Regions from separate parts of the Mus musculus genome. Here regions 1, 2, 3, 4, 5 and 6 are each reported to be linked to region 7. The links are microRNA targets in miRTarBase. Many come from high-throughput screens and were not tested one by one. Region 7 holds a microRNA gene; each other region holds the end of a gene's coding sequence. Distances are from middle to middle.
Evidence for each region. Region 7 holds the annotated microRNA mmu-miR-804 (UGUGAGUUGUUCCUCACCUGGA, at 2,160-2,181, shown strand). A microRNA usually pairs through its seed, bases 2 to 8, with sites in the 3' UTR of a target mRNA and lowers its output. Matches are read on the target gene's strand: a 7mer-m8 pairs with bases 2 to 8, a 7mer-A1 pairs with bases 2 to 7 and ends in A, and an 8mer does both.

Region 1 (4,067 bases), not on the chromosome of region 7:
AGATATGACAAGCCTGAAGTTTGTATAGTTGGCAGGAGATGTAATGGTGGGGGTGTGTCTTAGAGAAAAGAACACAAGTGTTTCCCTTTCTACAACATTTGTGAAAATAAAGACTGCCCTGCACATAAGCAAGTGGGAGTTGAAATACAGGGCTCCTCAGCCACAAAGTGGGTCACCTTTGTTGTTCACTGCTTAAGGAACAGGAACAGAGATCTTAAGGCAAAGAGTGACATGGGAACGTCAGCATTTTAGAAAAACAACTTGCTGTCATGGCTTGTCATCCTGTAAGATGACATCAGTCACATTGTAACCTGAGTACCACAGGCAGGGTGCACAGGTAGCTGGGACCCACAGAGACTTTGGTTCCCACAGTGTCCCACTCAGAGCAGAGAACCCTCCTGCCTTCTTGTCGTCTCATCGGCATGGACAGTGTAACCACACTGTGTGTTACAATGATGCATGCCCATTGGGCAGTGCCAAGGGGCATACCTTGACCAGATACTGCCAATTCAGAGCTCAGTATAGCCAAGGATAGTACCTCAGTGCTCTCTGCATATGGCCACCACTGGCCAGGTGCAGAGCATCACGGCTCTGTGTCATCTCAATTGTCACCCATAATTGCTTTCTTCTTCTCTGGCCTGAGATGGTCATGGATTGAGGAGCAGTTGAATCCATGCCCCAGTGAGGCACAGAGAATGGAACCAAGGAGGCTAAAGAAGGGTTTCCACAAGTCCAAGGCTAGTCTGGGCTACCTAGTGAGTTCCAGGTCAGTCTGAGCCACAACATGAGGCCACATCTCCAACACCAAAACCAGGACCAAGGAGAAGCACTAAACCCTCAGCCATGAATGCTCCCAATGAATGCGCCTCATGGGTGCTGAAGCCAACATCCTAGGAGGGTGGCGAGTCTCACGCCATCTCCCACTCGGAACTGTAGTGTCCCTGGCTGTGTAATGTGGTGGGAATGATGAGGCCCACCTGGGCTGTGGATGAGAAACAGTTCAGAAACCTTCTCTAACACTCCCAACAACAATGAAGTGCTACTGAATAATGGGTGTGGGTTATGATCAGCAGAGAAGGATGTGCAGAAACCCAGGAGGGCCCTCGTTGGCCCAGAGGAGCATGGGAAGGGGCATGGCTACCTTTGACTTAAACAAGTTCCTTCTTTACATGAAGAGCAGCCCATATTAGGTGCCATACATGGGACAGAGCCAGGCTGATTTTCCAGGAGCTTTTTTGACTGAGCGTGCATCCTGGACTTTCCCAGCTGTCTCAGACCTTGATTCCAGGCTGTGTGCCTGTCTCCCCGACAGCATGTTGTCCAGTCCAGAGGGCCACTGCATACTGCTACACCACTCAAGTAGGGGAGAGGACAAGATGGTCATTTGCTTAGACTTGGGAAGCGTGCAGTTACTGAATAGGCATGGAGAAACTGCTCATGTGGGTTGCTATGGCTTTCCTTTTCCAATGTCAACAAAAACAGCACTAATGTGTAGAATCGAAGTTTGTCTTTTCAGCACAACTCATAAAGAAATTTAAAACCCTATATAACAAAAACTCCTTAAAATAAAAAGTCGACTCAGAAAATAACGCAAACAATATTACAGGTAGCACTGAGACCTAGTATGAATTTAAAAAAAATACTATTTCAAAGGATAGAATGGTGAAGGTACAAAAAAATTTATTTAAATTAAACATTTTGAAAAATCAATTTCATAACTGTTCCATGCATATTTAGTTTTCTTGAAAAAATGGAACAGAGTAGCTTAATGCCTGTGATAGTGTTTCACGAGATTATTAATATCCATCCGGGACTGGGCACCAGTCAATTACATCATCAACAATTCACTATTTGTTACCAAATGGTATATACAGTAATAGCATAAAGATTAAGTATATCTTATAAGTGATATTATAATAAGACTTCTTGGGGATCTGTCAACAATACAAAATATAAGGTGGACATAATAGCAGAATATAAAAACACATTTCATAAAGGCAATAATATACACGTGTCCAAGGGCAGACAAGAGTCTGTTAGCTCAGTGTTTGGTATGTTCCTTCAAAGGAGGTTTAGAGAATGGAAATGTCTGGGGTGCGACCAAAGCTCAGAAACATCTTTGGGTGTCACAGGGTGTTTGTTTGGGACAGCCAAAGGACTGTGGGATAGGTGATTGTTCTGATGTATCCACTTGAGAAACAAGAACCAAGTTCCCTTCACGCCCAGGGGAATGGTGCCTGGGATTCCAAGCGAGGGGCCCTTTGAATTAGGGGCCAGTTTGGAGGGAGAGTAACAGAGAAGAGAGAAAAGCCCTCCTGGGAGCAAGGGGCAGCAGACATTGGGCAGAGAGTCATCTTTTGCATCTGTAGATAAGAGTATGCTACAGCTCTGCTCTAGAAATCAGCACACCCCAACACTTTTGTGGACAGACGTTTTAGGTTTCTAGCTCTCTGGTTCATTCTGTGATGAGGGGATGAGACATTGTCACAGTTGAGAAGAATCTAAATCAGGGTACACACCTGGGGCACAGTGTTGGGAATAGGCATGCCTGCATAAGGTCATTTCTCACACTGTAGTCGCCTGAGATGTATGTAACAAAAATAATGTATCTAAAGTATATATTAAAAAAAAATCCAGGCTGGGTGTGGTGCCACTCACCTTTAATCCCAGTACCCAGGAGGCAGAGGCAGGCTTACTTTTGAGGTTGAGGCCAGCCTGGTCTACACAGTGAGTTCCAGGGCAGCCAGGGTTACACAGAGAAACCCTGTCTCAGAACAAAACAAAACAAAACAAAACAAAACAAAACAAAACAAAACAAAACAAGTTCTAATCTGATTTTGCTTTCAGTGATGCAGTTGAACATACTCATTAATTTTCCGAACCAGGGTAGATCTTTTCCTTTAAAAAAATTACATTTAGTGTGTGTGTGTGTGTGTGTGTGCATGTGAGCATGCTCAAGCACACATATAATGCAGGGGCACACGTGCATTTGGAAGTCAGAATACAACTTGCAGGAGTCAGTTCTCTTCTTCCACCATGTAGGCTCCGGATATAGAACGTAGGTCATCAGACTTGGCAGCAGGCAGTCTTACCCACTGAGACATCCCACACCATCTTGCCAGACCAAAGGTGAATATTTTTCTCGACTGAAGGAGTTTCTTTGGAATTCTAGGGTGGCTGTGGACAGTATTATAGGAAAGCAGAAAACCTGGGTCCTTGGGCAGTCATTCATTCATACTTTCCTTGGCCTTGAGAGGGCTGTAACTTGGAGATCCATAGAGCGAGGGCTTGGCTATGAAGCCAACCCTCACTGTACAGGAGAGAATAGTCAGGGCTGGTCAAGCCAGAGTGGGGTTTTGCCAGTTAGAGACTGAACTGAGATGGACCCCAGGCCCAGGGTCCATCTTACTGGGAGCACCACAGATCAGAAGTAGCTACACCAAAAGCAGGAGCTCCAATGCACTGGGCTTCTTCCCATCAGCTACACTGATGGTGTAGAGCGGCTAGGAAATCCTACTGCAAACAGCTCCCAAGGCTGTGCTTCCTTGATGAAGCCGACAAAACACATTTAAAGGGACAGAAGGAGCGCTGGATCCTGGCTTTTGACCGGAAGGCTCTGGAACAGCAGTTTTGACCTCTTGCCACCAAGGAGTGGCATCGCCACAGTTTCTGCTCAGCTCAGTGCTTCATAGGGAGGAGGGGATGGCAGGGCTGGGCCAGGCTCCATTCCTCCAGCTCTATGACACACTGTAGCTGTTGTAATACGTGGCCGTGGCATCAGCCAGGACTGAGATGAGGCTGGTCTCTGTAGGGCCTGTGGGAGTCCCCTGGGAGAGCGGGACATGCCCAGTGAGGGTTCCAACCCCTGCAGCAGAGTCAGGGTGGCCGGGAGTGTTCAAATACTGATCAAATTCATTGCGATCCATGTCTCCCAGAAGTTCCACCTGGCTTAGCTGATCCAAGGTGTCAAAGCCAGGGTGCTCCGGAGGTGGGGACAGCTGGCCCAGGTGGGCCTGGAGGTTGGGGTGGAGAGGGTGGTAGGTGGCATGGGAGTAATAGGCTGGAGA
Region 2 (4,067 bases), not on the chromosome of region 7:
GGCCTGCACACACACACACACACACACACACACACACACACACACACACACACGCCCAGAGCTCCAGCATCTGCCGGCTCGGCTCCCGTTCTTTCGCGGGTAGGGGGAGCCCCTCACCAGTACATCACACGGATCAAGATTCTGTTGGGCGTTGGGACGTCCTCGCTGGTGGATGGGATCTCCTTAGTGGAACCGAAGCTGGGTGCTGGGGAAATCGTGGAGAGCTTACCCAGACCAGGGGTTTCCTTCAGCGGGGAGGCCAAGAACTCTAGTGTAGGGTTGGGGCCCGGAATGGGGCCCAATGTACTGGAGGCCATGGCAGTAGAAGCCAAGGAGTCTATGGGAGAGGCGGTGTCCGGTATGGAGCCTTGTGTCTTGGAGGACGAGGGAGTGAGCACTGGAAGGGGCCCCTGGATGGCCTCCGCTAGGCTGTGGATCGAGGGTTTCTGATTTTGAGCGAGTGTGGGATCCTTCAAGAGAGCGCTAGCAGCCCTGGAAGAAAGGGGCTGTGCCGTGGGCGAGGCCAAGCTCGGGAAGAACCTGCCTGGAGAGATCTTAGGAAAGACCCGACCTAGATTCGGGGCCCGGACTGGTGCTGGAGTCCGCACCGGTGCTGCATGCCGGACTGGAGCTGGAGTTGGGGCTGGGGTTAGGGTTGGGGCAGGGACTGGGGCTGGAGTTGGGAACCGGATTGGAACAGGGTTAGGGACTTGGGCAGGAGCCCGGACCCGGATGGAAGTTCGGACTGGAGTCGAGTTGTGCGCTGGGTTCGGGGCCCTGACTGGGGTCGCGGTTCGGATGGGAGCGGGTGTCCGGGCCGGGGTGTTTGCCCGGACTGAGGAGGGAGCGGGGACCCGCGCCTTGTTATTCATGGGGACCAGGTGAGACCCGGGTACCCCAGGCTAAGCGTCCCGCCTCGCCCTGCTTCCTTGAGCGAGGAGAGCTTTCGCACCCGAGGATTCTAAAAACCGAAGCAACCACGAGCAGGCACTGTTACACCGGGTTCCAGTCAGGCGGAGATTCCAAGCTCTGCGCCAGGGAGGCGCTGCTGTCTTCAGATCTCACCGAATAGACACCGCCCCTGTCCCTATCCCCACCCAGCAGGAGCCAACTCTGCCTAGAGCTTCCCATTGCCACCCTGACACTCATGCGTTTAGCTGGTTGAGTTCATTAAGCGCCCTCCTAGCGCTGGGGATTCCGGGGACAATGCATCTCTGCCCTCCTTGCTTCCTGCCCATGATAGGAGGTCACACCCAGTATGAGAGTGACAGCCTAAAACCGTCAGTGCAGTGGAGAATACCAGCACCCATATAATTCAGAAAGGAGGCACCTCTCTGCAGGATACGAGGTCCGGAGAAAAATAGCGACAACCCACACAAATAATCCAATTTACTCCCGGGGAGTGGTCAAAGTGAGACTCTGTCTTCTTCATGCTGTATCCCCAGCTCCTAGAACAAGACCTGGATCAACCAATCCTGTGGAACCCGAGTTAGGGAGATAAAGTGGAAGCTGGCACCAGGAAAGGGGACAAGTTTGAGAAGTGGAGTATAGGCAAAAGGCAGAGGTGACAAGGATTGGAGCCAGGGACAGTGACCATGTAAGGCCGACTAGACTTCATTCTGAGGCTCACAGAAGGATGACTTAACAGGGGTTGTGGCTCAGTTAATAGAGTTTTCATAGCATTCACAAAGCCCTGGGTCCAAGTCCCCCGTGCCACACAAACCAGTTATGTTGACTCAGGATTGTAGCTCCAGCACTCAGGAGGCAAGTGGATCAAAAGTTTAAAATCACTCTCAAGTAAAAAAAAAAAAACAAAAACAAAACAAAAAAAAAAAAACAAAACCAACCAACACCCCCCCCCCCAAAAAAAAACCCTCAGGATGCACATAACCCTGTTGATGTCTCAAGAGATGTCAGCCTCTGCCTGTGGCTTTGGGGCAGTATTTCTAAGCCAGGGAATATCCTTCTGGAAGGGGGGTGGGGCATACATAGACCAGCCAATCCACAATAACGTGGATAGTGATGACAGCCTGGGGCCACATTGTGTCAGTTCTGCCCCAGGAGGGCTATTAACTTTATCTGCCTGACCAAGACCTCATGAAGACTCTAGGCCCCAGAATGCAATGTACATTTCGTGACCATTAACGTGCTGTGTTGCCAGACGTCAGTGCAGTGGGTGCTTCCACAGGAAGAACACACAGATGTTTGGACTAGGAATTGACCTGGACCCTGGCACATCCCCTTCTCTAGTTGGCTGGGTTTTAAACGTATTTTTTGTTTTGTTTTGCTTTCTGTTATCTTTGAGAAAGACACACAGCTATATAGCTTAGGCTAGCCTTAAACTTACAATCCTCCTGCCTCAGCCTTTTTTCCCCCCCTTTCTGAGACAGGGTCCCATTATGGATCCTTGACTATCCTGAAACTCGCTCTGACAAGGCTTGTCTTGAACTCACAGACAACCACTGCTCCTGCCTCCCAAGAGCTGGGGTTAAAGGCATGTGCCATCGTGCCAGAATCTCTTGGCTAATTTTAATTATATTTTAATCTAATTACCTGTGCTACAGCATAACCACAAGCCTAAAAACTTTTAGTGAGCCTTCTATCAAAGGACCAGGCCTAGTCCAGCGTGGTGGTGCCTGCCTGTAATTCCCAGTGTGCAAGATGCAGACGCTGGAAAGCTGCTGCAGTTTGATGCTAGCTTGGTTGGCAATCCAGTAGATCTACAGAGTGAGTGGCTTCCAGGGCAGCCAAGGCTACAAACCCTGTGTTGAAAAACAACACAACTGGAGAGATGGCTCAGCGGTTAAGAGCATTGACTGCTCTTCCAGAGGTCCTGAGTTCAATTCCCAGCAACCACATGGTGGCTCACAACCACCTGTAATGGGATCTGATGTGCTCTTCTGCTGTGTGTGAAGACAGAGCCCTCATATAATATAAGTACCTGTTTAAAAAGAAAAAAACAACAGAAAAGAAAGGAAAGAAGAAAGAAAGGAAAGAAGAAAGGAGGTGGCTCTCAACCTTCCTAATGTTTCAACCCTTCAATACAGTTCCTCATGTGGTGACCCTCAACCATAAAACCATTTCATTACTACTCCATAACTATGACCTTGCTGTTGTGATGAATCATAATGTAAATATCTGATATGCAGGATCGGTGATGTGTGACGCCTGTGAAAGGGTTGTTCAACCCCCGAAGGGGTTGCAACCCACAAGTTGAGAGCTACTGGTTTATACAATGAGCTCCAAGCTATCACAAGATGCTGTCTCAATTTAAGAACAACAAAAACCTACTATTCCCCTTATGAGACAGCTCTCTTAGTTTCAACATCAAAAACAAAGTTCACCTGTTGGAGTGGTGCACGCCTTTAATGCCAGCACTTAGGGGGCAGAAGCAGGTGGATCTCTGTGAGTTCGAGGCCAGCCTGGTCTACAGAGTTCTAGGCTGGCCAGGGCTTTTACAGAGAGGAAACTCTATCCTGGGAAAATAAAAAGTTCTCAGCCTGATGTGGTTGAGCAAAATAAGAACCTTTATAGATGTCTCTGGGGAGATGAGAAAAACTAGGTTATAAATAAGCAATATGTACAATAAAGCCCTTTCAAAGAGTCTCCAGTCGGTAGGGGGAGGTAGAGATTGGACACCACAAAGTAAATAAAATCATTCAGGCTCCATCTCCAGGCGATGATAGAGAAGGGACAAGATAGAGAAGGGGCAGGATCAGGCCTGAAAAAAGAAATGAGAAAGAAGCGTTAGAAAAGATATTGAGGGTGGGAGGAGCTGGCTGCCACTGAGCCAAGTGTCCAAAGCCTGGAACGTGGGAACGTGGGTCGAGGATACCTCTCGTGCATAAATGGAAGGGGCTGGTATGACATAAATGGATCTAGAGTCTCCATCTTCAGGATGATTCCAGTCAGCCGACGAACTGTGGGAGGAGAGAAACGGGGGACAATTCAGACCCCACGAATTCTCATTTTTTTATTTCCCACACCCATCAAAGAGGGAAACCGCAGACTGGCAAGGGAGAATTCTGCAATGACCCCATCAGAAGAGGGCTAGGGCTAGAACACCT
Region 3 (4,067 bases), not on the chromosome of region 7:
CCCCTCTGCCCAGCCCAGGGCTGTCTCTGTTCTGGTCAGAGGTAGCTGCCGTTGTGGGTTTCTCCCCAAGAATCCTGTGTGAGGAGGAGTGTTGCATGGTATGACTGAGGTTCCCCTTGGCTCCCCATCACCCAGGTACCCTTGCACCAGGAAGCTCTTTCATTCATTCTTTCCAAAGAAGCAGCCTGGTGAGGCTGAGGCTGGACAGACAGGGTTAGGGGTTAACAGAGAAAACAAAGGCAAGATGACTTTCAGGAGCCCAGATGTCAGGGGCTGTGTGGGAACAAGAAGCAACTTTGGAACTCATGGAAAATGGCCCAGTGGTTAGCGTAATCACCGCAGGTGTGCCTGGGAGAGGCAGGGTCCCAAGGACTCCATGCTCTGAGGACTTGACTCTCTTATGGAGTTTCTCTCTGCTTGTTGCCCTTGAGGTCACCACTTTGCCCATAATCTACGGGTTGTATGGAAACTCTAAGGGGGTTTCCAGTCCCTCACTGGGCAGTGTCTGTAACTGTTAGGACTTTCTAGGCCAGCCAGCTCCCAAATAATGACAAAGAGACCATTTATTAATTATAAAAGCTTTACAGGCCTTAGCTTACTGGTTCCCAACTAGCTCTTATAACATAAACTAACACTTTTATATTAATCTATGTTCTGGGCTGGAGAGATGGCTCAGTGGTTAGGAGCACTGACTGTTCTTCCAGAGGTTCTGAGTTCAAATCCCAGCAACCACATGGTGGCTCACAACCATCTGTAATGGGATCTGATGCCCTCTTCTGGTGTGTCTGAAGACAGCTACAGTGTACTCACATACATAAAATAAATGAATCTTTAAAAAAAAAAAATCTATGTTCTGTAACGTGGCTTGTTATTTCTCCTCTGGCTTCTTCTGTGTCTCACTGGCAAATCTCCTGCCTCAGATTCTTTCCCCGAGTTCTTAACTCTCCCCAGAAACCTTGCCTTTCTTCTCCTGTCTCAGCTATAGGCCATTCAGTTCTTTTTTTCTTTTCTTTTTTTTCCCAAGACAGGGTTTCTCTGTGTAACCCTGGCTGTCCTGGAACTCACTGTGTAGACCAGGCTGGCCTCAAACTCAGAAATCCGCCTGCCTCTGCCTCCCGAGTGCTGGGATTAAAGACAAGAGCCACCACGCTCAGTTCTTTATTAAATCAGGCAGTGTTGAAGGAAGTGTTTACAAAACACTACAACAGGTGATGATTAACAATACCAAAATCTGGCCTGCCTACTCAGAAACCAGCATTTGAATAATACAGAGACAATCTTTGCACAGCGCAAGCGCACATAAAGATCACCTCAGCAAGTATCATTGGTTCTTACAATAATAATGATTGATCTCTTTTGAGCATTGCTGTTGGAGCAGATTAAGGATTCGGCCTCTGGGCTGGTGAGATGGCTCAGCGGGTAAGAGCACCCGACTGCTCTTCCGAAGGTCCAGAGTTCAAATCCCAGCAACCACATGGTGGCTCACAACCACCTTTAACAAGATCTGACTCCCTCTTCTGGTGTGTCTGAAGACAGCTACAGTGTACTTACATATAATAATAAATAAATTAAAAAAAAAAAAAAAAAAAAAAAGGATTCGGCCTCAGAAAGAATTTAGAGATGTAGTTAGTATAGTTAGGTTAAGATGTTTTTGTTAGCCGGGTGGTGAGTTCCAGGACAGCCAGGGCTATACAGAGAAACCCTGTCTTGAAAAAAAAAAAAAAAAAAAAAAAGATTTTTTTTTTTTTGTTAATGTAGAAAATCTTGGGGAACAATTTAAATTTAGAAGAGCACACTTTTGATAGTTGACCCTAGGCCTGCAAGCTTCTAGCCTCCGCACAATCTTATCTAGGTCTACACTGTTTCAGCCTCTGAGACTTACTCTGAATAAGCTTTTTCTTTCTGAACTCAGTTGTTCTGGCTCAAACTCCTTTCTAAGCTGACTGATCCAGTCTGGCTTCTCTCAGCCTCTAACTGGGTTGTTCTGCTTGGCCTCAAACTAACTCTGGCAATGTGTTCTTATCTTCTGGCTCCTTCTCACTCCCTGGCTTGTTCTGTCTTCCCCTGAGTCTAGCTTGTTCTCTGTTCAACCTGTCTCTGTAGCAGTAGCCTGCCTCCTCCTCCTTCCTATCGCCCTGCCTTGCTCTCTTAAAGCAGTCTCTCTCTCTCTCCTCTCTGCTCTCATGGGAGCTGGGCACATCCTAGTCTGTCAAATCTGATTTGTTGCTTGCCACTCAATTAGACATCACTTTCAAACATGGGTGCTTCCTTTTACAAACTAACTTTACCTCCATTGTTTTGAATTAAAGGTGTATATGCCAAGGGCTGAACCACACCGCAACCAGAAACAGGTTTTTGTTTATGTACCCGAGGATTTAAAGTAGAAAGGACTGTTTTTTTTATATAAAAGTTTAGATTTGTGATTCTTTAAGTTTTTTATGATTACATTTAGTTCCTGAATCTATTGCCTGCCTGTGGATCCCATTCCCCTAACTGGGCTGTTTCATCTGGCTTCAGTGGGAGAGGATGCACTTAGTCCTGCAGTGACTCCATATGCTGTGTGTGTGTGTGTGTGTGTGTGTGTGAGTGTGTTTGTGTGTGTGTGTGTGAGTGTGTGTGTGTGTGTGTGTGTGTGGTACCCAGGGGAGCTTCCCCCTTCTCAGAGGAAGAGAGGGAATGGGGGGGGAGCTGAGCTGTGTGAAGGGAGGACTGGGAGGAGATAGGTGGGGCTGATACTGGGGTGTAAAGTGAATAATTTTAAAAATTACTTTTCAGGACAAATAACAAAATGATTGTTCCTTTCTTCATAATCACAAATTGCAGCTTGCCAGTCAAAGAACTGGCTGAGAAAAAAATACCTTTTTTACCCACAGTTTGTTAGTCTATAACAAGTTGCTTAGACAGGAATGTATGTGGATTCATGTTAATAATCTGTTTTCTGCATGTAATATATAAATTGCTTAATTGTGTAAGGGTGCTGGGGGCCTGCTGGGCTTTGTAGTTGTTGTTTTTACTTGAACTCATTGTACTTCATTTATTCATCCACTTAAAGATAGAATGTAACCACATTGTAATTTTTATACTTCTTCAAAGAGTTTGCTGGGGGATATGGGGGAAAAATAAAGTTGTTGGAGCCTAGCTTCATCCATCAAGTGTGTGTGTGTGTGTGTGCGTGTGCGTGTGCGTGTGCGTGTGTTTCCCCCTAAAGTAAAGAGAGAACCTGTTTGTCCTAGAAAGAAGCTTTGGTGTCTGTAGACTCCCCTGACTCCACACCCTGACTCATCAAAGCTGGCTCCCAACACCCAGAAAGGGAGAGAACACGTGCTGATTTGCAGCAGCAGCAGCAGCAACAACAACAACAACAACAACAACTCCAAAGCAATGAGAGTCAGGTTACAGAGGTCCAAGCAGGAGGGAAGGTTGCTTGCCACACACATCTGTCGCAGGAGCTGTATCAGCGTTTATCCTGGGGGAAGGTGACTCCAATGGCCTTCCTCGCCTCCTCAAGGATCTCAGCCAAGAGCTCACTCTCTGCCAGAGGAACTACAGGACTCTCCTTAAGACCTGGGAAGAGTGACCACAGGAAGACTTGTCTAAAACGCACGCATCAGACAGCAAGAGGACTATTAATTCCCAGAAGTCTTTGCGGCATGGGCAGGGTAGTTTGAGAAGGTGGCTATCTCTCTGAATCCTGGGAGATGTAGTTCTAAATAGCTACTTGCGTTTCAGGGCAGGCTAGAACACAACAGTCCCCTCAGATGTAGCCCCAGTGCAGCCCTCCGCCCCTCCTCACCTTTACGCAGGCACTCACGCACGTGGTTGGCTTCATAGAGCATGCATGACCCATTTACAAAATTGTAGTCCTTCCCAAGGACAGGCGGAGGGAACTCCTTCCTCTCTCCATTCACCACCAGCTCTGTTGGGGCCCACAATTTTTGAATCTAAAGGAAGATAATAAGTGACTACTCGGCCCTTATCAACATGGCTCAAGGACTTTACTCCCAACAACCGGCTGGCTGAGCGGTACCCAGGACCCAGCTCTGGCACCTTCGAGTGAAGTATTTACT
Region 4 (4,067 bases), not on the chromosome of region 7:
TCTGGCTTTGTTTTCTGTTCCCATACAGATACTGTACATTTTGTCTCACTTCTGATTGTTGTATATTTGTTGTACTGAACATTAAGTATCATTTTTATTTTCTCAGATAGTGCTGACTCAAGACTTTCTAAGAGAAGCCTCAGTGCAGATGAATTTGAAATACTACAAAACCCAGTAAAAGAATCAAATATCATGTTCCGGACCTACAAAAAGATGTACCTTGAGAAGAGAAGCAGAAGCCTCGGGAGTAGTCCAGTTAAATAGTCCCAGGAAGTCATGGTTTTTGTTTTTACCAAGAGAACACCCCTAGTCTTTTCTTTTCAGGCTCCCTTGCAGAAAATACCTCAGGACAGTCACATCGGGATTTCTCAGCCAAGGAGTTCCTGTATAGCTTTTCACTGATACTATGTGACTGAAATGTTGGATTAGCTGCTGGTGAGCAGGCAAAAAGAAAGATTGCATTTGTCTGGGAATTACAAAGTGTATGCTAATGATGCAGTGATCTGCATTGTTGAACTGTGTTTACTGGGTTTTTTGTTTTGTTTTCTTTTTTTTTTTTTTTTTTTGAGACAGGGTTTCTCTGTAGCCCTTGCTGTCCTGGAACTCACTCTGTAGTCCAAGCTGGCCTTGAACTCAGAGATCCACCTGCCTCTGCCTCCCGAGTGCTGGGATTAAAGGCCTGCACCACCACGCCTGGTTCACGTTTACTGTTTTAAGTCTTGCTGGCACAGTGGTGCATACCTGTGACCCTAACATTTGACTCGTGGACACAAGAGGATCAAGAATTCAGGGTCATTCTCAACAGAATAGTGAGTCTGGTGAAGTCAGCTTAGGCTACATGGGAGCCTCTCTCTAAAAGCAAAACAACAGCAACCAAAAAAGGGGAATGAGGGTGGCTTATACAAACCTTACTTTGAAATGCTGTCATCCTGAGGTAACTTGGTTGTTTGACTGGGGCTGTAAATAGATTCTTGTTTCTAAGCACATTAGCAAAATTTATTTTTCAGAAAGTGCCCATTGTGAATGTCAAAGTATATTCCAAGTATTTTGTACCTCATTGTAAAGGTTTTTTCAGAAGTCTTGTTTTATACTTTTGTTAAAGTGAATGGAGTTTTTGGAAGATGTCTTAACATTACTTTTCATACTTGAAATAAACATTTATTTTTTAAAGAACTACAGTTTAAGTCTTCATGGTTCTGTAAGGGCCTGTGATTCCTGAAAAATGATACCCTAGATTCAAACTATGCAACAATAAAGAGCATTTATTCTGCAGAGAACCAGCATGGAAGGGTCTACCACACATCGGGATGAAAGACGATAAAAGACAGATATGGACCTTGCAGGATCAATTTAAAGCCTGTTAGGGTAGTAGTGGTGACGGTTATCTTTCTTCCCCTTGATTGGTTGGATATATCTCCAGGGATATGGTTGCCTTTGTGATTGGTTTAGGCTCTGGAAGATTTGGGGGACTTTTGCTGATTAACTATCAGCTCAGGCTAGGTAGTGGGGCAGCTTCTGACTACTCCTCGATAGGCTATGCGTGAGGGGTGGGTTTTTCTGGAATTGACTTGTTTTGGACTTTTCCAGTTCTGGGAAACAGAAACTTAGGCCTAGTCTCCCAAACTGCCAGTTTGCAGCCTGTCATGGAGGCAGCCTAACTCAGGCTAACTTAGTCCTCTCAGTTCCATTTCTCTATGGTTTTGTATCCTCACTAATAGACGCATGTGGATAAGTCAGATATGATGGCACAACCCCTGGGAGACTAAGGCAGCCTGTGCTACACTGGGAACAGAATGTTTGCTTCTAGGAGAGCATTGGTTATTTTTAGAAAACTTTTGCCTCTTGCAGTAGTGGAAATGTAGGACCCAAAGAGCCTTATGTCTGGGATGTCCCACTCACAGAAACACAGAGACAGAGATTGATGCAACAAGCAAGAGGTTTTGTAAGACTCCAGGAGCCTTAGCTTACTGGGGACCCCCTGAGTGAACTGCGTGGAACTATGATCTATGCAAAAAGCAAGAGGAATTTATTTTACCAGTGCACTGGGGTTGCCCCAGACTCGAAGGAGAGGCGGCAACCCCTAGAACCCCTTCGGTGAGTTTTTATATGGTTTCTAGGGGCAGAATAGAGCATCAGCAACTAGGCACAATATGATTGGCAGAACAGTGCACCCTTTAAACTGATTGGTCTTTAGGGAATGAGGTGACAAGGACTTCCGATGTCTGAAAGTGAGCAATAGTCCTATGGAATGTGTCCCCAAACACAGGTTGGTTCCCACCCTGTGATCTGAGAAATGTTAATTAGCCTCTTTGGAGGGGCAAGTGTTTCATGACCTTCTCAAAGTTCCTAAGCTGACCTTTTCATTACTATCTTATACGTCAAAAAGAAAATAATTTTTTCACCATTATATGCTCATTTCTACCTCTTGTTTTCTTTTTCCTCCCCGCCTCCCTTTCTTAAGGGTTTCACTCAGACCTTGCTGACTTGGAACTAACTATATAGCCCAACTTGGCTTTAACTCAGTGCTATGTTCCTCCCCTCTCCCCCCAACACACACACCATTGTTTGTTTGCCTTAAAAAGATATATTGTGTTTGTGTGTGTGTGTGTGTGTACCCACCCATATGATGGCCTGCAGAGTTCAGAGCACAGCTTTAGGAAGATGGTTCCCTCCTTCTATCATGTAGATTCTGGGGAGTTGAACTCAGGTTTTCAGACATGGCTTCAAGTGCTGTTACCCACTGAGTCATGGCTCTTATTTATGTGATTTTTATTTGGTTGGGTTTTTGTTTTTTTGTTTGTTTTGTTTTTTGGGTTTTTGTTTTTGTTTTGTTTTTGGAGAAAAGGTCACTCTGTGTAATTCATTCAGTCCTTCAGCATCCTGAGTGCTGGTATCACAGGTGTATATCATAGCACCTGGCCTTTCCCCATGATCTGCTAGTCACTTCTGTTGCCTTTTTGCACTGCGCCAGTTTGTAGCTGTTGAAAGGTGAACAACCAAGGTAGATATGATACTGTGTAGTTAGTACTCAGGAGGCTGAAACAAGATCTTGAGTTTGAGGTTAACTTCTGTCATATGGTATATTCCTGACTTTAAAACATAGAAGAAAGTGGCTGAGGAAATGGCTTAATGGGAAGAGGAGAGCTTGGTGTGAAAGCAAGAGGATTTGAGCTCAAAACTGCCAGTGCCCAAATAAAAGCATGGCAGCATGTATAACTAACCCCAGTGTTGAAGGGTAGCGATAGCATGCATATTCTGATAGTTACAGGCCAAGATATCTGAGCTTTAGGTTCAATGAGTGGCCTTGTCTCAACCAAAAATGTGGAGACTGATAAAAATACCAACTGCCTCTGGCCTACATATACATATACACAGATGTGGGCACCTAAATGCATGTGCACAAGGAATACACCCTGACTCAGAAAAAAAGCTAAAACCCAAACAACTAAAACCACACTGGAGAAAGAAGTCAGTTTTTTAAAAGGAGAGTATGTGTTAGGAATTTGACAGACCTTGAGGAACTTTGTTGGCTACTCAAAATCTGGCTTGGGCTACTCCAATTTTCCTTAAACTCTACTTCTATAGCACTATAAGGCCTTTTCCTCAGGGTTGAGGATTATTGCCATCTTGAAGCAATGCATTTGTTGCTTCCAAGACATTTTCATGACAGTGGGCCTATTAACATTTCCATTTGGAGCCAGAGCAGGTTCATGAGGCTGCTCCCCTCAAGGTTATATGAATGTTAAACAGTTGCTAGAAGACTCTTATGTATAGCTAGCTATTGAGTTGCCTGTATTCCTGTAAGTAACCCCCAATAAGCTCATGTATAGTTCTAGGTCAGTACTGGCTATTGCTATAAATGAGGCTAAAGAATCTAAAGGAGTTTTGACAAGGCCCAGAGGCAGCTGGGAAACTAAGAGACATGTAAAAGAATCAATGTTTTATTTTGTGTGTATGTGGGTAGATAACTAACTCTGCTGGAGATTTGAAGAGAGACATGTCAGGTGTTAATACCCAACTGAAAGGTTGGGAGATTTTCAGAGGAATTTGGCAACATAAGAACTTGG
Region 5 (4,067 bases), not on the chromosome of region 7:
AACAGTGTACTTACATAATAATAATAATAGTACAAAATTGGGATTATAATACTTCAGTTGTAGGACATTTACCCAGAAGGCATGAACCCCCATGCTCTTCCACTGAGAAAGCAAACAATCAAACTCGGATCACAAATCGAAGAAAGTTGAGAAAAGGCGCGCCTGGTGGAGAACTCACCCAGTGATTCTCGGGGCCGCTGTGCTTCCTCTTCAGGCCCCGATGACTAGGCCAAAACTGCTTAAATTCCCTAGAACAGTAAAGTCAGAAAGGTTTACTCAAGCCGAGCAGAAACACTCAACAAATCTATTCAATAGACAGGAATCTACCAGGGGCGAAAGGTTTTCTGGGAACTTCGCTGAGCACCAGTGTTTATAAGAAACAGAAATGAACTTCGAAAATAACTTGATTATATACAGCCTCGTTAGCCAGTCAGCTGTTACAGCTCATTTTCTGGCTAATTAGCTCCAGGGACTTTTGCAACAAGCCCAGTCAGGTTAGCTACTATCAATCTCTATGTTCACCCGGCTCGCTGGGCCCAGTGCAGCTGTCCAAATCCATGAGCTCCCATTAGTAACAGAAATAACATAATGCCAGTAAGAGCAAAATATTTATTTATATTACTCCTTTTGCGAGGCACCATTCCACTCCACACTGGTTCACACCGTGGACTGCTTGGTGAATTCCCCCGCCCCCCTCCCCCAACCCCAAATGCTAGAGTCCTGGCACAGAGGGCAAACAATTGTCCATGGATGGTTTTTTAGCTTCTACCCCAGAGCCCCGTCTGCGGGCAGTGATGTGTGTCGTGGTAGGGGGCTCTTACTCATTGCGTGGGACATGAAACCTGGGCAGATGGCCTGATGTGGTGGGAAGACAGCTTTCGTGTTTCTCTAGGGAGTTTGTTTCTTCTTGCCGCCGCCTAGTCGTTTACAGTAAAGGCGAGTCCTTGGAAAACACGTGTATCCGTTACTTTCCTGTTGCTGTGGCAAGATGCCAGAGCAACAACTTGAAGAAGAAAGCTTATTTTGCGTATGCGCCAGCGGCCACCACGAAAGGGAAGGGTTGGCTTGGCTTCAGGAGCCACACAGAAGTGCAGCGAGAGCAGGAGGCAGGGCAGGCTGTAAACCTTCAAAGCCTGCTCCCCAGGGATGGTCTTTCTCTCTCACCGCTGCATCTCCTACAGGCTCAGTAACCTCTGCAGACAGCACCACAAAGTGGGAACCAAGCGTTCAGACATGTGAGCCCATGAAGGTCTGTTTGCTGCTTAGCTTTCTGTCAACTTGATATAAGCTAGGGTCTTCTGGGAAAAGTGAACCTTAAATGGGAAAGTGCCTTCATCAGATTAACCTAGAGGCAAGTCTGTGAGGGCATTTTCTTGATTAATGATTGGTGTGGGAGGAGTCAGGAAGGCACAGGGGAGGAATAAAAGCAGAAAGGGCAGGATTAGAAGAGTGGAATGAGACACATGTTAGAAATGTAAAGTGGTATAAAGCACTTTGCCCCCATTTCTGCCCAATAGGGACAGAATGGCCATGACAGCAGTTTTAGTTCAGTTATTCATGAGGACATAATGGAGAGAAAGCTAGAGCAGGGTCAGAGGGAATGCTCAGTGCTCGGGCTGCTCTTGCAGAGGACCCAGGTTCAGTTCCCAGCACCCACATGGCAGCTCACTGCCATTTGTAACTTAAGTTCCGGGGAATCCATTTTTTTCTGGCCTCTGTGGGTACCAGGCAAGGTGTGGGGTAGTAATATTTATGCAGGCAACACTCAGACACAGAAAATATATTTTTTTAAGAAATAAGCAAGCCTTAGAGACATATCAGGGTGCAGGTGGTATGAATCTTAAAGTACATGGAGTTCCCTTTCTTATTATAAAAATGTGCTTTATTTAAAAAAAAAAAGAGTATATAATAAAACCACAGGACAACATTCTAGACATGGATTCTTAATATGGCATTGTGGAAAACATAAATATCTGTTTCTTTCCCCTTCTTATCGTCTCCTCTGTGCATTTATTTATTTATTTTTTAGCATGTTAACACTTATTTTACAGCTTGATTCTATATCCATAGTTTAAAACCAATTTGGATATTATAAAATGGTATAAAGCGAAAATAAAAATCCCCCTCTCTCTGTACTCTTCCCAACCAACCCTTTCTTTTAGGAAATGTCTTCACGTTCTGTCCTGTGCCTTTGGTCATGGAAAGCTTTCATTCCCGCATAATTAAAACTGGTTTCTTCTTGTTGATGGTGGTGCTCAATTCCTCCACTCGTCAGTAGCTATGCGAGCAATGTCAGTAGCTATGCAAGCAATGCGCTCACAACCGATGGGTGACGGCCAGTGTTTCAAGCCATAAACATTGTTGACAGTTTATTCAAATAAACACACCTATATCTTTATAGCCTTACATCCCTCCCTTTTTTGAAAGTCATATAAAACTTTCTTCTATTGAAATTAAGGTATAATTATATCACTGTCCCCTTTCTCCCTCCAGTCCCTCTCTGGGGGTTTCTCCTTATTCTTAACTCATGGGCCCTGAAGCCAGATATATTTTGATAAATACTTCAGTATTAAAAGTGGCTAATGGACTATATGGACAATTGGTTAAGTTGGAAGGGAAGGAATTGGAGCTTAATAAACCAGCTGGTTCCCCTAAGGTATGTGCAAGTTAATGAACCATAAAGCCATGTAAAACTCATTTCAAAGGCTACGGTCAAGTGGAGTTAACCTAGATTTCTTGATAGACTTGTTACGGTTTGGATGTAAAATGTCCCCTGCAGGTTTGTGTGTCAAAGACTCTGTGTCCAGTGCAATGTTCCAAGGTGTGACTGTTCAAAATGAGAATCGGACAAGTCAATAGAAACTGCCTAGTTTGTTTCAACTTCTTTTTCTCCTAGTTCTGCTAGGACTATTCAGCCTCAAACGACATCAATTTAAAAAAATTAATGTGTCTCTAACAAAATACCTTTTTCTTTCTGAACCTGTGGTTAAAGAGGTAGAAGCGAGGGAGGCAGTCTTTCTTCTCATGTCCATATGGGATATTTGTCATGCTGATATTTCTAAGATCTAGTTAAAGATACAAATTCTTGCCGGGCGGTGGTGGCGCACGCCTTTAATCCCAGCACTTGGGAGGCAGAGACAGGCAGATTTCTGAGTTTGAGGCCAGCCTGGTCTACAGAGTGAGTTCCAGGACAGCCAGGGCTATACAGAGAAACCCTGTCTTGAAAAACCAAAAAACAAACAAACAAAAAAACAAACAAACAAAAAAAAAAAAACCAAAAAACCAAAAAAACCAAGAGGAGAAACAACACAGGGAGGAGACAGTCGAGCCTCCCCAAACACTTTGCCCTTCATAATTGAATATAAAAGTAAGTGAATTCGACTTTTATCTTGGATAAAGACAGAAGCAAGCCAGTGCACCTGAGCGTGCCACCCACGGATTCCCAGTGATTTATGAGCCTTTTATCCACTAGGGTGCACAAACAAGCAACTCCAAAGATATTTCATAATACTGAAATTCATGATCTTCCTGACTTAGGCTCTCGAGTGTGGGATTAAAAGCTTAGCATTTCTCTACATTTCTTTTTTGTTCTGGTCTTTTGATAAGATCCAACTGGGTAAGCTGGGCTGGCCTGGAAGTCACCACAAATCTCAGGTAGGCTTTGCACTAATGAAATCCTCTTGTTCTGCTTCCATTGTGCCAGGATTGCGGGTGTGAGCCTAACCCACCAGGCCTGGTTTCTCTGGTCCTTCACAGCTTAGCATCTTTCACAAGTCTTAAAGATGCAGCTGGCATACAAAGGAGTATGGAGCTGGGTCTCCTCAAAGCTCTTCCCTCTCAGGCCTCCTCCGGTGGCACTGGCAGATGGATGTGCCATCATCCGGCTGGGGAACAAGCTCCATTCCATCACGAATCATGGGCTTGCTGGCCTGGCGCTCGGCATATTTCTGAAATATGTTCGGAAGGAACAGAAGGTTTAGTTCATGCTTCATTCTAGTCTAACCTCCCCCACACCTCCACCTCCAACCATGGCGCTTCAAACCCAAACCAAAGATCTGGCTCATTTT
Region 6 (4,067 bases), 32 Mb from region 7:
AAGGCCCCCTTAGTTCCTCATTCAGGGTCCATTGAGAAAGCAGAAATACATGAAAAAGTGGTGGAAAGAAGAGAGAACACCGCCGAAGCATTACCAGAAGGGTTCTTCGACGACCCTGAGGTAGATGCAAAGGTCCGGAAGGTGGATGCCCCAAAGGATCAGATGGACAAAGAGTGGGACGAGTTTCAAAAGGCTATGAGGCAAGTCAACACTATCTCTGAAGCGATCGTTGCTGAAGAGGATGAGGAGGGACGGTTGGACCGGCAGATTGGAGAGATTGATGAGCAGATAGAATGTTACCGCCGAGTGGAAAAGCTGCGGAATCGCCAGGATGAAATAAAAAACAAACTTAAAGAGGTTTTGACCATAAAAGAACTTCAGAAAAAGGAAGAGGAGAATGTGGACAGTGACGACGAAGGAGAATTACAGGATTTGCTGTCTCAGGACTGGAGGGTAAAGGGGGCTTTGCTGTAAGGTTTTGAAGACCCAAGCTTTCCATCAGTCCCCGCTGTCCCTTAAAAAGTGCTGTGTCCAAGTTCTTGGGTTCCTCTGACCTTGGATACCCCTAATTGTTGGGATAAAGTAAGCCAGTGAGGAGTAATACTTTGGGGATGGTACTGTGTGCGGTGCTATTTATTATAAAATGTTTGAGGTAAAACCGTTTTTGACATTTTTGAAATTATAACCACAAATTGCCAACTTTTTCATCTTTACAGGTTCAATGTGGTTTTTCAGTTGTAAAATCTAAGTTGTAAATATTGCACATAGCTAAGTATATATTTATATAAGTCACTCTGTTTTGATCCTTATATTAGTCAGATAAAAAAGACACATGTTTATATGACCTCGATGTATATATATTTTCAAGCCTTAAACTCCAAGGGTTGGCGCTTTGGGAAGGTTGTTTTTAGAAGGCCACTCATAAACACATATTCTTCATAAAGCAGTGGATGGGTATTCTTTTTTCAAAAGCATACAGATGTCCAGACTCCAGCACAGTGTTTCTTTTGACAAGATCAATGATTGCTAAGTTGTACATCAGTATCACCTGTGAAACTTTTGATTGTTCATGGAATGTCAAATCGCCTATGAAGCTTTAGTGCCTGAGCCCCATCTTAAAGAGGTTTTGACCATAAAAGATTCCATAAATTAAATGGGATCCAGATGACAATATTCTTGACTATTCCCAGGTTATTCTAGTATTTGCCCAGGTTGGAGATTCAGCTGCCTTAAGTGTAAAACCTATCTATATATTTTTCAGGCTTTGTTTTCCTTGAACATGCTCTGTAGTTTACTGTACTCCCTGCCCCCGAGTGCTGCTAAACAGATCAGAGCTATGGGAATGCTAGGCAAGTATTCTCCCACCACCAAGCCAGTTTTCAAATGAAGGAAATATTACCCCATTGAGTTGGAAATTTTATTTTTGTGGTAAATCAGGCTTGTGTTTACAGGTTCTTTCAATGGCAGGAAGATAGGTAAGTTGCTAGTAAGGCAATGCCAGTTACCTTATTCTAGTTATTGATATTTTAAAGTTTTCCTTGCTTTGGAGGATGAGTGTTTTATATACAGCATCTTCCAATTTACTATAATAGCTAAGACATACTGTTCTAAGCCTAGGCCAGTCAGGATTCTAAGCACTTTACATATATTAACCCATTCTAGCTCAGGTTTTATAAGGAAAACCACCAAGAAGAAAAGGCCTGAAAGCCTTGAAAACTGGATGTGGTGCCTCACCCCTGACATTGCAGCTTTTGGAAGGCTGAGGGAGATGCAGCCTGGACTATGTAGTGAGACCTTGTCTAAAATAAAAAAAAAAAAAAATCCTTTAATTCTAAAGAACTGTTTTTACAGGCAATGTGGAAATAAATGGAGGATTTGGGTTTTTTTAAACTGAAGAAGTCTGTGACAATTCGGTGTTATTCTAGTTGTAGTGTGTGGTATGGAAGAAGTCTAGGACAAGGAACTGGGAAATTATGTACACAACACTTCAAAAGTTAAGCGACTGATTAGTTATGGACTAAGAGGGTGGGAATAACAATTTCTCAGGAAGAGCTAACATTTAGTAACTAGAAGTAGAAGAAAAAAATGTAGAAGGGACAGGAATAGGAATGTCAAAGGACTTTTTTTTTTTTTAATGATTTATTTAAATATGCATTGGTGTTTTACTTACATGTATGTCTGTGGAAGGGTGTCAGATCCTCTGGAACTTACACGCCATTGTGAGCTGCCATATGGATGCTGGAATTGAACCCGGATCCTCTGGAAGAGCAATCAGTGCTCTTTAACCACTGAAGCATATCTCCAGCCCAGGATTTTCTTTTAGGTATGAATACCAAGAAGACATTGTCTGACTTGGTATGTGCCACACATGATTAATAATCTTGCTCCTTATGACACAAAGTCTGAATTCTTTTTTTTTTTTTGGTTTTTTGAGAGGGTTTCTCTGTGTAGCCCTGGCTGTCCTGGAACTCACTCTGTAGACCAGGCTGGCCTGGAACTCAGAAATTCACCTGCCTCTGCCTCCCAAGTGCTGGGATCAAAGGTGTGCGCCACCATGCCCGGCTACAAAGTCTGAATTCTTAACTGTCAACTATTAGCTATTTCAGTTTGAAAATTACAAAAAGTGCGCCACCACGCCCGGCTACAAAGTCTGAATTCTTAACTGTCAACTATTAGCTATTTCAGTTTGAAAATTACAAAAAGTGCGCCACCACGCCCGGCTACAAAGTCTGAATTCTTAACTGTCAACTATTAGCTATTTCAGTTTGAAAATTACAAAAAGTGCGCCTGCCTCAGATGTCTGACCCCCACACTGAGGATTTTCAGTCATCTCAGCATGCAAGGAAGAACGAGGCTGTGTTGAGAGGTGGGTGATGACCTCAGGAGCACTTTCGGTACAAACACAAAGCTGGGTATTGTGGGTCATATCTGTAATCCTTTTTTTTTTTTTAAAGATTTATTTATTTATTTATTTATTTATTTATTATATGTAAGTACACTGTAGCTGTCTTCAGACACACCAGAAGAGGGAGTCAGATCTCATTATGGATGGTTGTGAGCCACCATGTGGTTGCTGGGATTTGAACTCCTGACCTTTGGAAGAGCAGTCGGGTGCTCTTACCCACTGAGCCATCTCACCAGCCCCATATCTGTAATCCTAACACTAGGAAAAGGAGAGGCAGGAGGATTGTTATTTTAGGGCCGTACATTTGACAATAAGACTCTATTTCAAAAAACTAAAGCACAAAAATAAAATACAAATCGTATTTTAAATCTAGTAGCCATTTTTAAAAGAAACAGGTGAAGTTTTAATGTTTTTAGGTACTCTGCTAAATCTAAAATATTATTTCAGGGAAAAAGACTACTCAATACTTTTGCGTACATTTTTGAAATCTAAGTTTATCTAGCAGCATATATATATATATATATAGAGAGAGAGAGAGAGTGAGAGAGTGTTCAATAGACATCAGCACAGATCTAATATACATGCAGAGGAAGTAGTGAGCAGAAGGTTCATTAACTACTGGCAGCAGAGGAGGTTAGGAATGGTTAGGTGTGGCTTATCATTGAACATGTCATGATGTAGATAAGATTTGCTTTGTGTGTGTGTGTGTGTGTGTGTGTGTGTGAGCACACACACATCCATAGAGACCAGAGAAACAGCAGTGGGCCACCCAGCATGCATGCTAGAAAATAAACTCAGGTCCTTTAGAAGAAGCAACAAGTGCTCTTAACTACTCAGCAATCCATGCCCTTCAGTTAACATTTCATTGAATGATTCTTCCAAAGCCATAAGAAATGTTAGGTGTGTTCATGCACATGAACTACCATGGCCTTTTTAAGAGTACCAAGAATCTCAAAATCTGATTCAATGGTCCTTAGTAGTAGAGAAGGACCCATGATTATATCCGGTGCTCAGTGAGTCCTTGAGATCGAGGGAACAGCTATGGGAGTTGAGCAGCTCCACAAACTTTAAAGATTATTACATGATCTGAGCAGAGTCAGATTTGATGTTCAACTGTGCTGTTCTCTATTTAAAACGGTCCAGTCTACCCTAACTTGGAAGA
Region 7 (4,067 bases):
CTGGGTCAAACAGAAGTCTTTATTCCACGTATGATAAAATCACAGTCTTCGCCAATAGAAAACAAAACAAAGAGTGTGGGAAAGCAGAACCTAAGGTTTGGAGAAAAATCCAAGCGCCCTCTCCCGCACTGCCCAAGCGTCTCACGCGCTTTAACTCCCCCTCCTACTTATCTCTGCCACACGCAGCTCCACCCAAGGAAAACCCGGATGCTCAAGGGAAGTGGACCACCCGGGCCACCAGGGCGGGGCGGGGCAAGGCGAGGCGCGTACTCGCGGCCCTGCTTTAGGTACAACTTTATTGCATCACCGCGACTCCAGAGCGCGCGGCTGGATTATAAGTACTCCCGCGCCCCTTTGCTTGGGCATCTTTCTCTTCCAGGAGCGCGCCGGGGCCGCAGGGTTGTTATCCGCGTCCACCTTCTTCTCCAGCAGTTGCATGCGCGCCGTAGTCTCTGTTAGCATGTCCATGAGCAGTTCTTGCTGCAGCTTCAGGTAGTTATTCTCTTCCAGCAGCACCTGGCTCTTAATCGGCTGCACTTGTGGCTTCCAGGCCGGGATGGTGGAGGAGGGCAGAGGCGTGCGCGCGCTTGCGCGCTTCCCCTCTGGGGTCCAGCGGCCGCCGCGGAAAACGAAGGCCTCGTCGCTCAGTCGGGTGCGCGGCTCGCCGTAGTTGAGCCCCAGTTCGGCCTGTCGCGTGCGGTGGTCCAGCAGATAGAAGGTGGACATGGATGAGATATGGCGCAGCGGTGGCCTCCGCGGCGAGAAGCGGCGCGAGAAGTGGTCGACCCAGAATTGCCTCACCTGTTTCCACAGGCGGCCCGCTTGGCTCGCCGCCAGGCACTCAAAGGCCTCCAGGGTGAAGGTGGTGTGGGCCACGCGGGGCGCGCGGGTGTCTGGAACCCTGATGTTCTGGAATGGTGAAGGCGAGCCAGTGGCACTGCTGGAAAGCAAATGGCCTGTGAGCGGCCTGCTCAGGCTAGACTCTGCAGTTGTAGGCTAGTAGGGGAGCCCATTCCTGCATAGTCACACCAGCCGTGTTCACCAAAATTACCTCCCCGGGACCCTTTATCTAGGATGTAGGTGTGTAAGAGATAATGTAGGGCTGGGCAGTGATGGCACATGCCTTTAATCCCAGCACTTGGGAGGCAGAAGCAGGTGGATTTCTGAGTTCGAGGCCAGCCTGGTCTACAAAGTGAGTTCCAGGACAGCTAGGGCTACACAGAGAAACCCTATCTCGAAAAACAAACAAAAAAAGAGATAATGTAAAGGCCCAGAAACCACGTTCTCTGAAATGCTGGAAGAGACCACAGGTAGGGGGCCACAAGTAGAGATCAGTAGCCAAGCAAGTAGGACAGGCCTTTTCTTGCTGACAGCTGTGAGGCAAAGGGCTGTCATGTTCCAGATGCATGAAAGAGCCGACAAATAGGATTGGTTCCGAGAATAGCAGAAACGTAGGCTAGAAAGGTGAGCCAGAGGGCATTTTTCGGTACAGTACAGGGAAATTGAACATTGTGGTTGTCATTCTTTAAGGGAGGCTGCTGATGGCTGCAAAGTCAGGGTTAGTGTGAACTCGGCAGAGCATCTGTCTGGTGAGATGTCTAGCACATTCTAGCACTGGCACCTGCTCCATGCCAGGTCTGGCCTGCACAGAGGATACCACAAGCACAGCCTTTGTCTATCCTCAAGATGTTCCTGGTCCAGCTGGAAAGGCGTGTATTAACATCCAGTGTAATCAATGACATCATAGGACAGACAGGTAGGTGCCTTAGCCTAGACCCATACTTAGCTTTCAAGTAACTAGAATGCTGCACACTAGAGTTAACTTTTGTTCCTAGCCAACTACTGATAGGAATCTAAAGCCCAGATAACTACCAGAACCCATCTTACTTGCTTCCTAACTCTTCTCACAACACCTATAAAGTGCTGATTCTACAGTGTGGTTTTTCAAATACCTCTCCTGCCATCGAGGGCAGGAGTGAAAACTGCTGTCGGGTTTCCTTTGCCACACCTTCATTAAACCCAACAGAATTGTGCAGGTGGGCAGAGACAGGTGTTCTCCCCCACCCCCTGATTTAACTCATGGAGCGAGTCTCTGGAAGTCCCTACACATCCATCTTTGAGGTTACAACTTCCCCAGTAGACTGTTTCCTGACATTCCTTGTGAGTTGTTCCTCACCTGGAAGATGTGGTGGCGGTGCCCAAGCTGCTGTCCCAGGCCTGGCCCCATTTCTGGGTTATGGCACCCACCTGTCTGCCAGCTGTGACTCACAATGCCTCCCTGCCAGGCCTCCTAGGGTAGAGGTGGTGTAGACAGTGAAGTGTGTTCAGTTACGGGAAGTTTCCGGAGCATTGACTGTGCTCCAGGCACTGTTCTGGGGGAGGGAAGACGTTCAATCATAAAATCGCACCCCTCATTTTGTTTAAATCTTTGTTTTGATTTAGGTCCTTTTGAGACAGGATAGCCCAGGTTACCCTGTAGCCCAGGCTAGTAAGAATCCTCCTGAGCCAGTCAGTGGCAGCAGGTGGGTTTCAAGAGTTCGAGGCCAGCCTGGTTCAAGGCTGCCAGGGCTACACAGAGAAACCCTATCTGGAAAAACAAAACAAAACAACAACAAAGGGATCTGCCTGCTTCCTGCCTTAGCCTTCCAGCCGGATTATAATCATATGTTTCTGGCTTCTATGTGGAAGGTGGGAGTATGGGTAGTGTGACCTCTGGCCAAAAGCTAACCTCCAGTATCTTCTTGATCACTCTTCACCTTACTTGTTTGTTTACTTATTATAAACATAAAGGCAGGGTATCTTTATGGAGTCCTGGCTATCCTGGAACTAGCTCTGTAGACCAGGCTGGCCTCAGACTCACAGAGATCCACTTGCTCTGCCTTAGAGTGCTGAGATCAAAAGTGCACCAACCTGCCTGGTCTTCCACCCTATTTTTTGAGTCAGAGTCTCACTGAACCTGGAGTTAGCAGAGTCAAAAGGCCAGCTGGCCAAAAAGCTGTAGGGATCTTCTACCCCCACCTTTGCCAGGGAAGTGTCTTCTTGGAGTTGTAGTGACATCAAAGGTGAGAGAGAGCTCCCAGAGATGCACTCTGTGAACAAGGTGGGAGTTGGGTACCACTCGACTTCTGGCCAGCTATGAAAGTCATGTGTTGTATTAATGAAGATAGGGCAGAGGGATCTTACTCATTCTGTCTCTCCCTTAAGTTCCAGACAGACATTGCTGTACCCTGCAGATTGTGTGTGTCAGTGTCCCGTGTCAGCACTGGGGTTAGAGATGCAGGCTGCCACACTCACTCAATCCCATGAGAACTGGGGTTCTGCACTCAGGGTCTCAGGCTTGTGCAGCAGGCCCCTCCCTCACTGAGCCATCTCAGGCCCCTTACTTGGGTTTTTGGAGACCTGATCTCACTTTGTTAGCCTAAGCTGGCTCAAATCTCCTAGGCCTAAGTGATCCTCCTCCCATCTTAGTCTCCTGAGCAGCTCCAGCCTATAGGCTGTGGCACACAGTACCTTAAGCCAACATTCTTGGCAATGGGGTGGATGGGAGGTGAGCATAAGGAATCTGGTATTGCTCTAGAACACATGTAGATTGCCCTCCAGGAATTTTAGTGCAACCTTAGTCCAGAGTGTAGCAATGGAAACTTTTGGGGGCAGATTGAGCCCAGGGCTTCCTGCATGATATTTGTATACTCTTCCAGTAACTTTTTAATTTTTTTCAAATCCTACTTTTAATGATTTTTTTAAAGATTAATTACTATACATAAGTACACTGTAACTGACTTCAGACACACCAGAAGAGAGTGTCAGATCCCATTACAGATGGTTGTGAGCCACCATGCGGTTGCTGGGAATTGAACTCAGGACCTTTGGAAGAGCAATCAGTGCTCTTACCCTCTGAGCCATCTCGCCGGCCCTTAATGGTGGTTCTTAAATGCTTTAACCTCCCTTGTAGCCCACCACCCACCAGAAGTAGTGGGAAAGAAAGGATTCGGGAGAAGTGGACTTGTTTAGAAAGGTTCTTTGGAGCCACTCCCATCTGGGTTGTCAGGAAATCAGCAGTTCAGTTC

Region 1: the mRNA of Sox7 is a reported target of mmu-miR-804. Seed matches in the 3' UTR shown: 7mer-m8 at 2,728-2,734.
Region 2: the mRNA of Dll3 is a reported target of mmu-miR-804. Seed matches in the 3' UTR shown: 8mer at 3,405-3,412.
Region 3: miRTarBase lists Dhdh as a target of mmu-miR-804. Seed matches in the 3' UTR shown: 7mer-A1 at 2,606-2,612 and 7mer-A1 at 2,582-2,588.
Region 4: miRTarBase lists Resf1 as a target of mmu-miR-804. Seed matches in the 3' UTR shown: 7mer-m8 at 602-608.
Region 5: miRTarBase lists Poglut3 as a target of mmu-miR-804. Seed matches in the 3' UTR shown: 7mer-m8 at 3,179-3,185.
Region 6: the mRNA of Zfp830 is a reported target of mmu-miR-804. Seed matches in the 3' UTR shown: 7mer-m8 at 2,467-2,473.

The regions. Positions count from the first base shown.
Region 1 is chr14:63,948,330-63,952,396 of GRCm38, reverse strand. Sox7 (SRY (sex determining region Y)-box 7) reads right to left here. Exons shown (of 2, transcript NM_011446.1): 2 at 1,665-4,067. The coding sequence ends at 3,738. Among named protein-coding and RNA genes, the nearest start is that of Sox7, 6.7 kb to the right of the region's middle.
Region 2 is chr7:28,290,206-28,294,272 of GRCm38, forward strand. Dll3 (delta like canonical Notch ligand 3) reads right to left here. Exons shown (of 9, transcript NM_007866.2): 8 at 3,836-3,920; 9 at 3,350-3,721. The coding sequence ends at 3,716. It overlaps Selenov (selenoprotein V), which reads right to left and starts at 981. Exons shown (of 6, transcript NM_175033.4): 1 at 118-981. The coding sequence starts at 872.
Region 3 is chr7:45,471,812-45,475,878 of GRCm38, forward strand. It overlaps Dhdh (dihydrodiol dehydrogenase (dimeric)), which reads right to left. Exons shown (of 7, transcript NM_027903.4): 6 at 3,794-3,941; 7 at 1,752-3,564. The coding sequence ends at 3,455. Among named protein-coding and RNA genes, the nearest start is that of Bax, 6.9 kb to the left of the region's middle.
Region 4 is chr6:149,334,486-149,338,552 of GRCm38, forward strand. It overlaps Resf1 (retroelement silencing factor 1), which reads left to right. Exons shown (of 5, transcript NM_026054.3): 5 at 107-1,178. The coding sequence ends at 264. Among named protein-coding and RNA genes, the nearest start is that of Gm38930, 16 kb to the right of the region's middle.
Region 5 is chr9:53,399,567-53,403,633 of GRCm38, reverse strand. It overlaps Poglut3 (protein O-glucosyltransferase 3), which reads right to left. Exons shown (of 8, transcript NM_212445.2): 8 at 1,767-3,947. The coding sequence ends at 3,822. Mir130c (microRNA 130c) reads left to right here and starts at 2,748; the gene lies at 2,748-2,829. It also overlaps a transcript of 4930550C14Rik not described here.
Region 6 is chr11:82,764,990-82,769,056 of GRCm38, forward strand. It overlaps Zfp830 (zinc finger protein 830), which reads left to right. Exons shown (of 1, transcript NM_025884.4): 1 at 1-2,633. The coding sequence ends at 474. Among named protein-coding and RNA genes, the nearest start is that of Zfp830, 2.7 kb to the left of the region's middle.
Region 7 is chr11:50,355,913-50,359,979 of GRCm38, reverse strand. It overlaps Mir804 (microRNA 804), which reads left to right and starts at 2,101; the gene lies at 2,101-2,195. It overlaps Cby3 (chibby family member 3), which reads right to left and starts at 2,219. Exons shown (of 2, transcript NM_029691.1): 1 at 2,177-2,219; 2 at 278-940. The coding sequence starts at 726. The coding sequence ends at 304.